Linked DNA regions of Ovis aries. The protein of the gene in region 2 binds, or shares a complex with, the protein of the main gene of each other region. Links are inferred from orthologs where the notes say so. Each region holds a gene or a part of one and is shown on either strand. Other genes may lie near its edges.

Region 1 (4,475 bases), on a different chromosome or scaffold from region 2:
GGTTGAGCTTGTTAGGTTACTCGCCCCTAAGAGCCTTGTGGTTTCCCTGTGTGTAAAAGAGGATTAAAACTACCATCGTGGCCAAGAAAATGTACTTCTCAGATCGTGCACAAATGACCAATGGCCCCAGCTGCTGAGCCCTAAAATCTGTCATCTAGTTCTCATCCCCAGCATGGTGTAGAGGCCAGTTTCCTAGTGCTGCTCCCAGCCCATGACTAAATACGAGAAGCCTATTCCTGGGAGGCGCTGGGCTCCTGGGACAGGGTAGCTTGGCTTGAAGACTCCCCCAAGGCCTTGCTGAACTTTCTTAGAGCTTCACTGTAGCATAAGATGCTTCTTTCAACTCAACCTTCCTTCCTCCCCTCTCTCCTTCCTGCACCCCAGGTCTAGCTCCCCAACCATGTTCCCTCATTAATCTCTAGAGCAGTCTCCCCTCCAGATACTTTGGGCGGGGGACCAGGACAAAGAGCCACCAGGCTGCTGCCAGTATTAAATAGATGTGTGAGCACCTAATCAAGGCCTGGAGTATAGTTGATGTTCACTCAACTGATATTTATTGAGTCTCTGCTGAGTGAGGACTTTACCTGGGGTGACTAGAACACATTAGTGAGCAAAGCAGATGAGAACATGAGGGCCCCCTGCTTGAAGCTTCTTGCTGCCCCCAATGCGGAGGGATAAAGTCCCAACTCTCCTACAGGACACAAGAGTCCTTCAAAGTCTGACCCCAAGGGGCTTCCATACCCCTACCCCATACTGCACACCAGAGCCTAGAGTCAAAAAAGACTTTACTCCGGCAATCTCGGGTTTTTCAACCCCAATATCCTTTTTTTTTTTTTAAGTTTTAAAAAGCTTATTCTTAATTATGAAAGCTTAATTATTCTATAGAATAAGTATGTCTATACAAACAATTTTTTCTATAGAAATAATGGAGAGACCTCTAGCATGGTTGATCAATACAATTCTTTTTTTCCACCCCCCGCCCCTCGCCCCCGATATCTTAACACAGCTTTTTCTTCTCCAAAAGCTTCCCCTCTCCTTTGTACACACCCTTCACATGACAAACCCTTACCCATCCCCCTTGACCGGTTCAGTCGTGGGGTGCTAGATCACCAGGGTAGAGGTGCTTGCTGACACAGCTCTCCTCATCCACCTCTGAAAGCACTAGTTACATTGTGCTTTAATTGCTGTAACAGTGTCCCGCTATCTTGTGAGCTCGTGTAGATAGCAGGGGCAGCGTGTATCCATCCTGAATCCCCGGCGCTCGGCGCTTGGTAGCCCGCAGCTCGTATCTTGGGGAGAGAGTAGAGACTGGAGAGCAGGCGATTTTCCCGCGGTAACCACGGGGCCTGCGGCGAGAGGGCGGGGGCGTCGCTGGGCGAGGGTCAGGGAGCCGCCGGGGCTGGGCGGCCCCCGGGACCGGCCGCGGGGCGCTCGGGCCGAATCGCGGCCGCTGCCGCGGGGCACATGACTGCGGGCTCAGCCTCCGCCCCGCCCGCTTCCCCGCGCAGCTGCCGCCTGTCGCCTCCCGGGGTTGCGGCGGGCCGGGCCGGCGAGCGTCTCCGCGCTGCGCGCTCCCTCTGCCTCGCGAGCTGCGCCAGGCGGGCGCCGCGGCGACCGAGGCCGGAGAAAGCGAAACCAAAGCGAGACTCCCTCTCCCCTCCGGCCGGCCGGGTGCAAGCGGGGCCGCTCTCGCCCAGTCGCGGAGCCGGGAGCCGGGCCCCTCTGCTGGGCCGCAGGCGCCCGAGGGTCCCGGGTTTTCCGGCCGCTCCGCCGGCGCCCCTCCGTCTCTCCCTCCTTCCTTCTCCTCCGGTCGCTGGCCTCCCGGCCTTGGAGCGGTGCGCGGAATGGGCAGGTGCTGCTTCTACGCGGTGGGGACGCTGTCCCTGCTGTTGCTGGTGACTAGCATCACGCTGCTGGTGGCCCGAGTCTTCCAGAAGGCCGTGGACCAGACTATCGAGAAGGTGAGGCGTGGCGGGCTGTGTGCTGTGTGTGTGTGTGTGTGTGTGTGTGTGTGTGTGCTGTGTGTGTGTGTGTGTGTGTGTGCTGTGTGTGTGTGTGTGTGTGTGTGTGTGTGTGTGTGTGTACGTGTACGGGCGCGCGCGTGAGCCGGGTTGGGTGGACACTTTCAGCCCACCCTCCCACTGCTGAACCTTGTGCAGGGTGGATCTGCACCCCCTATAACCCTAGTCCAGAGGCTAGGGCCCTCCTTTCTTCCTTGTCTTCTTGGGCTGGGTGGGTAAGAGTTAAGGAAGGCTGGAGAGGAATAATTCTGTTCCTTTTAGAGTAATAAACAAGACTGTGGGTCTAGATTTTGAAAGAAGGCTTTCACTTACATTGTCATTTGTTTTCTGGGCCCTCCCCGCGCCCCAATCTCTGTTGGGCCCAAACTCATTTCCCTCCCACTTTATGAAGAAAAACTAAATGAAAGACACCGCCACCCCGCAGGTGTGTTGGCTGCTTGCCCTGGCCTTTGAAGTGGTGTGAGATGGGGATGAGAGGCTGGTGCCTCGTCTGTTGTGTTCTTGCCTTCCTGGGCTGAGCCCCGCACTTGGTAGCCAGGCCAGGCCTGCGGGCTGGGTGACATTTCAGTTCATCAGAGCCTGTGCTGACTAGCTGACTTAGCAGCTTGGTGTCTTGTACCAGCAGTCTGTGCTGCTTTGTCTCAACATGGATTTCTTGCTCTTCTCAAACAACCCTGCTGCTGCTGCTAAGTCGCAAGAGGACTGGAGTGGGGTGCCATCGCCTTCTCCGCAAACAACCCTAAGCTTAGGCAAAGCTCCATTTAAATTCTTAATCTGAGCCCATCTCTTCCTCTCAGATGAGTGGGCTGGAGAGCTGGTCACTTCAGACCTCTCCATCCTATGATTTCACCAGTGGTCATTTCTCTTGCCCTTTCACCCACATCCACCAATCTGTGTGGAAAGAGGAACCAGAGAGAGTTATTGGGGTCACTTTTTCCTTTTTAAAAAGTTATTGGAGAAGCCTTTCTTGTTAGCACCCATCACTGCCTGATTTCTTCCACTCGTTTACACTTGCTGTTGGCTAGATAATAAAAGCTGGGGCCTCCTCCAGAATTGGTCACTGCGCTCCCAGTTAGCAAAATTGTTTCATTCCAGGTGGCAACAGACCTATTTCTTAAATAGAGGTTTCTAAAAGTCATCAATTACTTGAAATCTGAAGCCACTTAAAAAAAAATGCCCTGGCAAAACATAGTTTAATTTTTTAAAAGTTCACATTGTCAAGGGGTGACAGAACCCACTGTCTGAGCTTCTCAAAGGCTATTGTTCAAAGCGTGTTCAAAGAAAAAACTAAATTGAATCTCTCCACCCTTGTCCACCTGTCCTTGGCAAGGTAGTTTAAGGATGTAACCTCTTTGAGGATGTAACCTCTTGCTTGGATGTCTAGAGTTAAGCAATCCAATGATAGTCAATTGGATTTTCTTGTGTGGCTTTGAAAGGCTGTTTCAGGAGAGGTCTGTGAGATGGGTGACCTCCCCACCCTGTGCCTCAGGCATTGTCAGCCTTCGGATGCTCTGTGGGTCTACATTCATGGGCACTGGGTAGGGAGGTGGTGGGGGTGGAGGGCAGTTGTAAGGCAGCTGGGCTGCGGCTTAAGTTTGCACTGATATTTGGTGATTGGCTTTTAAAGGTGGTTTTCTCCATGAAGAATGGACTCTGATCTGACTGTAAATGAAAGTACAGGAGAAGTGAACTTTCAGAACTGGCTCACTCTGTTAAGGAACACTGCACCATGTGCTGTTTGAAACTAATGACAGGGCTAGGTGTGGACAGGTGTGGAAATATGGTAAGACAACCAGAGGTCACGCGTTACCATCACTACCACTCCGCTTTCCTGGGTCGCCTGTAGGGGGGTAGCATGAGATGGCGGAAAGAGTAAGGACTTCGCAGGTTAATTCGCAGGCAGGAATCCGGCTCCACTGTGTACTAGCTGGGTAACCTTAGGCTAGTACTTAACCTTTCTTAATTCTAGGCTTTTCCATCTGTAAATGAGGATAACAACTATTCATGTAAATAGAAGAATTATAAGAATTACTAGAGAAAATGGGTGTACTTTTCATGGGATACAGTAGTATGTATAGTTATTTGTAGGGCTTCCCTGGTGACTCAGCAGTAAAGAATCCACCTGCAATGCAGGAGACATGGGTTCAATCCCTGGGTGGCAAGATCCCCTGGAGAAAGGAATGGCAACCCACTCCAGTATTCTTGCCTAGGAAATCCCATGGACACAGGAGCCTGGAGGGCTCCAGTTCATGGGGCGTCTAACCACCACCACCACGATAGTTATTTGTAAATGATAGCAGTTTTATTTTTGCTAGAAGCAAATAAAAAATACATGAGATTGGAGGTTAGATACCCTATGTTCAAATCCTAGCCCTGACATTTCTAGGCTGTTTGCCTTTGGGAAAGTTACATAACTTCTCTGAACCTGTTTCATTCCTGAGAGAAATGAGAATG
Region 2 (4,253 bases):
CACCCAAGCTCATGTCCATTGAATCGGTGATGCCATCCAACCATCTCATCCTCTGCTGTCCTCTTCTCCTTTTGCCTTCAGCCTTTACCAGCATGAGGGTCTTTTTCAGTGAGTTGGCTGCTCACATCAGGTGCCCAGAGTATTGGAGCTTCAGCTTCAGCATCAGTCCTTCCAGTTTATTGATGGTCAAACAGCCAGTAAATAGTGGAGCCAAGATTCAAACCAAGCTCCTCTCACCGAGACCATAGCTCCTCTAGGGTTATGGGAGCCTAGAAGAAGAAATGGTCAATTTCCCCTGGAGTTTATTTGGAAACACTTCACTGAGATAATTTAAAAAAAAAAAAAAAGACAAACAAGTGGTTCCCGAGGGTCTACTGTGTACCAGGCACTGTGCTTATCTTACTGATTGTAGTAATGACCTTGTGAGATGGTGGCATTTAACAGATGGGGAAATTTAACTGATGAGGAAATAGGCTCAGGGAGCTAGAGTCAGCCAGGTCTTGAATGTGTATGTCACTCCCACTAAATCTGTGATGTGGCCCATGAGGCAATACAAGCTCCTTCTCACATCCACTGAGGATACAGCTTTGTACCACACTTTGCAGTTTCTGAACTGCTCTACACAACCTCTCTGTCCTGTGAGAAAGGAAAAACAATTCCTTCTCATCTGTATCTGCTGATGAAACAAGAGAGGCCTGGGGAGGCACCGGCCCCCTGCCCAGGGCCCATCCTCCCTGCACTTCTCTAGTTAATACTCCTTATCCCTCACCCCTTCTCCATGAAGCCCTGTAGGAAGGGTCTCTGTGCACAGCTGTTACCAATTTTGTCCTTATCTATAAGCATCTGTGTGTCTGATTCCCCTGCTTATGAGCCTCTATAGTGCAAAGATTGCTTAATCATCACTCAGGATTTTGGCCTCAGTATTTTTGTACCATGATCCTCTTTTATTAGTATTAACCATTATCAGCATATCTTTAAAATATTTTCCTTAAGAAGGCAGTGTGCCTGCTGTGGCTCCCATCCTTTGGGATTCGGGAACCTCTACCCAATCCTTCATTAAGATCTTTCATCTAGATTCTTCCTAAAGCTGTCATCCATACATGCCTTCTAGAATTTCATAGGATGTATAAGCCCTCAGGAAGCCAGTCGGTTGCCCTTTACAAGTATGGTTGCAGTTGCCTCACTTCCTGGGTCATGTGACACTCCCATGGTTTCACGTGACTTGTTCCATTATGCCGGAATTAACCCGCAGGGCTAATCTGGCCTGTATAGCTATCACAGGCCCCTGCATCCCTGTTTTTATTTAGTTGATCCTCTATCCCTCAGAAGTTTGGGAACCCCAACGTCTTCTTGCCTGGTGATGGAGCTTTCAAGTCCTTCCAGAGAGGTAAGTGGGGACAAGGCTTCTAATTGGTGGTGTCATGCACTTTCTGGAATTCTGGCTAACCCGGCTCTGGAATTCAATGAATGACGGGCTCTCCTTGAAGCAGGTCATCATGCCTTTTTGATGGAGGGAAGGTGGGATCGAAGGGGAAGTGGTTGGGAAGAGGGGTGCAGGAGGGTCCTGCTTGGGGTGGGCAGAGAGCTATTACTAGCCGAGAGCTTGGAGGGAGGGCTGAACTCAGGTGTCTGTGGACTTTGTTCCATTCTGTTAAAGGTGGGAGACTAGGCAGTCGAGCCCTGCCTAGGAGAGTAGATGAGAGGTGGAGAGGGGCTTGCCTTCACTCCTCATTGTGTTCTCAGGATTATCCTGTGCCTCGGGGCAGAGTAGAAATCATGGCTGCCAGCCTCATGGGATTACTTCTACTTCATACAGTGTCGTGGGTATCAGGTAAGTGAGTCAGAGAGAAGGGAAGGAGCCCCAAGGCCCCCCTTCTGCCATATGGCCTTTGGCAGTCTCTGGCATACTGGTGGTGGACTTAAGTAGATGCTCAGTAAATCCTTTTGCGTGACTGAGAGCAACAGTGGGGTGGAGGTACAGCAGGATAATTTTTAAAACCATTTACTTATTATTTATTTGTGTGAGTTGGGTCTTTGTTGTAGCATGTGGGATCTAGTTTCCTGACCAGGGATCAAACCCCTGCCCCTTGCATTGGGAGCTCAGACTCTTAGCCATTGGACTGCCAGGGAGGCCCAGGAATTTTTGAAACCAGTATTTTGTCTTTCTTTTCAGCTAGTGGGTCCCTTCTCCCCATCTTCATCCCTCAGCCCTTGCCTCTCTTGTGCACCCTCCCTGCCAGGTGCCCGCCCCTGCATCCCTAAAAGCTTTGGCTACAGCTCGGTGGTGTGTGTCTGCAATGCCACATACTGTGATTCTCTGGACCCCCTGACCCTGCCTGACCCTGGCACCTTCAGCCGCTTTGAGAGCACTCGCAGCGGGCGCCGAATGGAGCTGAGTCTGGGGACCGTCCAGGCCAATCGCACAGGCACAGGTAACCAGCTCTCACCCAGGTTATGGTCCTTCTGGAGCCCAGTCATGCCAGCGATCAGCGTGGAGTTTCTCCCCTGTGCACTGACGCCTTTTATTCCCTGTGGATGTCCCCAGGGTTGCTGTTGACCTTGCAGCCAGATCAGAAATTCCAGAAAGTGAAGGGGTTTGGAGGGGCCATGACGGATGCTGCTTCTCTCAACATCCTTGCCCTGTCACCTGCTGCACGGAATTTGCTGCTCAAATCATACTTCTCCGAAGAAGGTGAGGAGGAAGGGACAGGATGACATAGTGCAGTTGGCTCTTTGACCTCTCCTTTCTCCCTGACATCCACCCATCCCTGACATTTGGGTCTCTGTTAATGCCCGGTGGGAAAAAAAATTGTCCTATCCATCCGCTGAGTGCCGGGGGCCTCCAGCTCAGATAGTCTGCCCTTCACCCTGCACCCCAGTTCCCTTTGGCCCTGACTCAGGAATTTCTACAGGAATTGAATACAACATCATCCGGGTCCCCATGGCCAGCTGTGACTTCTCCATCCGCACCTACACCTATGACGACAGCCCTGATGACTTCCAGTTGCTCAACTTCAGCCTTCCAGAGGAAGATGTCAAGCTCAAGGTGGGCACTCTGGCTGCCTCAGGCCCCAGCAGCATTGATGCCTGGTGATTGAGTGGCCTCAGGCTAGAACAGTTTGCAGAGAGACATAGAACTTGTCCCTGCCCTCTCTTGGGATGGGAGGGTAGAGGCTGATGGCTAGGCCAGATACACCAGTTGGGCCAGTCTATGTTCCAGCTCTGGGTGTCTCTCCTCACTACCTTTGTTTCCAGATACCACTGATTCACCAAGCTCTGGAGTTGGCCAACCGCTCTGTCTCACTCTTTGCCAGTCCCTGGACATCACCCACTTGGCTCAAGACTAATGGGGCCGTGAATGGGAAGGGGACACTCAAGGGTCAGCCGGGGGATCTCTACCACAAGACCTGGGCCAGATACTTTGTCAAGTAAGGAAACAGCAGGGCCGTCGGGCCTGGACCAGGCTCCCCTTTCACACACCCTGGTCTGCGTCCCAACCCTTGACCTGTTCGGCTGCCAGCTCTCAGCTCACCTTTCTACCTTCTGGGCCTTCAGGCTTAGGCCCCTCAGTTTTCCCCATTCAGTCCGACCTCCTAGTCCCCAGGGCCCTGGTCCCCTTTCTTGGCCATGATCCCTCACACCCTTGCCCTCGCCAGGTTCCTGGATGCCTACGCGGAGCACAAGTTACGATTCTGGGCAGTGACAGCCGAGAACGAGCCTACTGCAGGGCTCCTTAGCGGGTACCCCTTCCAGTGCTTGGGTTTCACTCCTGAGCACCAGCGAGACTTCATTGCCCGTGACCTGGGTCCCATCCTCGCCAACAGTACACACCGCGACGTCCGACTGTTGATGCTGGATGACCAGCGCTTGCTGTTGCCTCGCTGGGCCCAGGTGGTAAGGACCAGGACTCCTGTGGGCACCTTGTTTGGATGCTCAGTTGTGTCTGACTGTTTTTCGACCCCATGGACTATAGCCCTCCAGGCTCCTCTGTCCATGGGATTTCCCAGGCAAGAATACCGGAGTGAGTTGCCATTTCCTTCCCCAAGGGATCTTCCCAACCCAGGGATTGAACCTGTATCTCCTTGGCAGGCAGATTCTTTATCACTGAGCCACCTGGGAAGACCTTAGTACCCTAGTGACCCCAAATCCAGCATCTAGATGACTAGCTCTGGAACAGAGTGCCTTCCCTGCCCCAACTTTTGATTCCTAGAGTACCCTGGCTGGGGCCAGGTGTCCAGGTGGCACTCCTGGGA

What was found.
Region 1: the proteins of GBA1 (region 2) and SCARB2 are in contact, whole or in part, in a cryo-EM structure (PDB 9FJF), measured with the Homo sapiens proteins. The link is inferred for Ovis aries from reciprocal best matches to the Homo sapiens genes GBA1 and SCARB2. Residues at the interface, in NP_000148.2 of Homo sapiens: Leu130, Asn131, Ala134, Ile169, Glu190, Lys194, Leu195, Pro430, Arg434, Ile445, Thr446, Asp448; in NP_005497.1 of Homo sapiens: Lys161, Ala162, Tyr163, Gln164, Lys181, Glu183, Leu187, Phe191, Arg192.

Annotation. Positions count from the first base shown.
Region 1 is NC_056059.1:91,865,516-91,869,990, reverse strand, and holds the start of SCARB2 (lysosome membrane protein 2), read left to right. Parts: upstream 1-1,504; 5' UTR 1,505-1,844; coding exon 1,845-1,961; intron 1,962-4,475.
Region 2 is NC_056054.1:105,405,908-105,410,160, reverse strand, and holds the start of GBA1 (lysosomal acid glucosylceramidase), read left to right. Parts: upstream 1-1,217; 5' UTR 1,218-1,360; coding exon 1,361-1,387; intron 1,388-1,743; coding exon 1,744-1,831; intron 1,832-2,240; coding exon 2,241-2,432; intron 2,433-2,545; coding exon 2,546-2,692; intron 2,693-2,912; coding exon 2,913-3,046; intron 3,047-3,255; coding exon 3,256-3,428; intron 3,429-3,656; coding exon 3,657-3,894; intron 3,895-4,253. UniProt on the Homo sapiens protein: Glucosylceramidase that catalyzes, within the lysosomal compartment, the hydrolysis of glucosylceramides/GlcCers (such as beta-D-glucosyl-(1<->1')-N-acylsphing-4-enine) into free ceramides (such as N-acylsphing-4-enine) and glucose.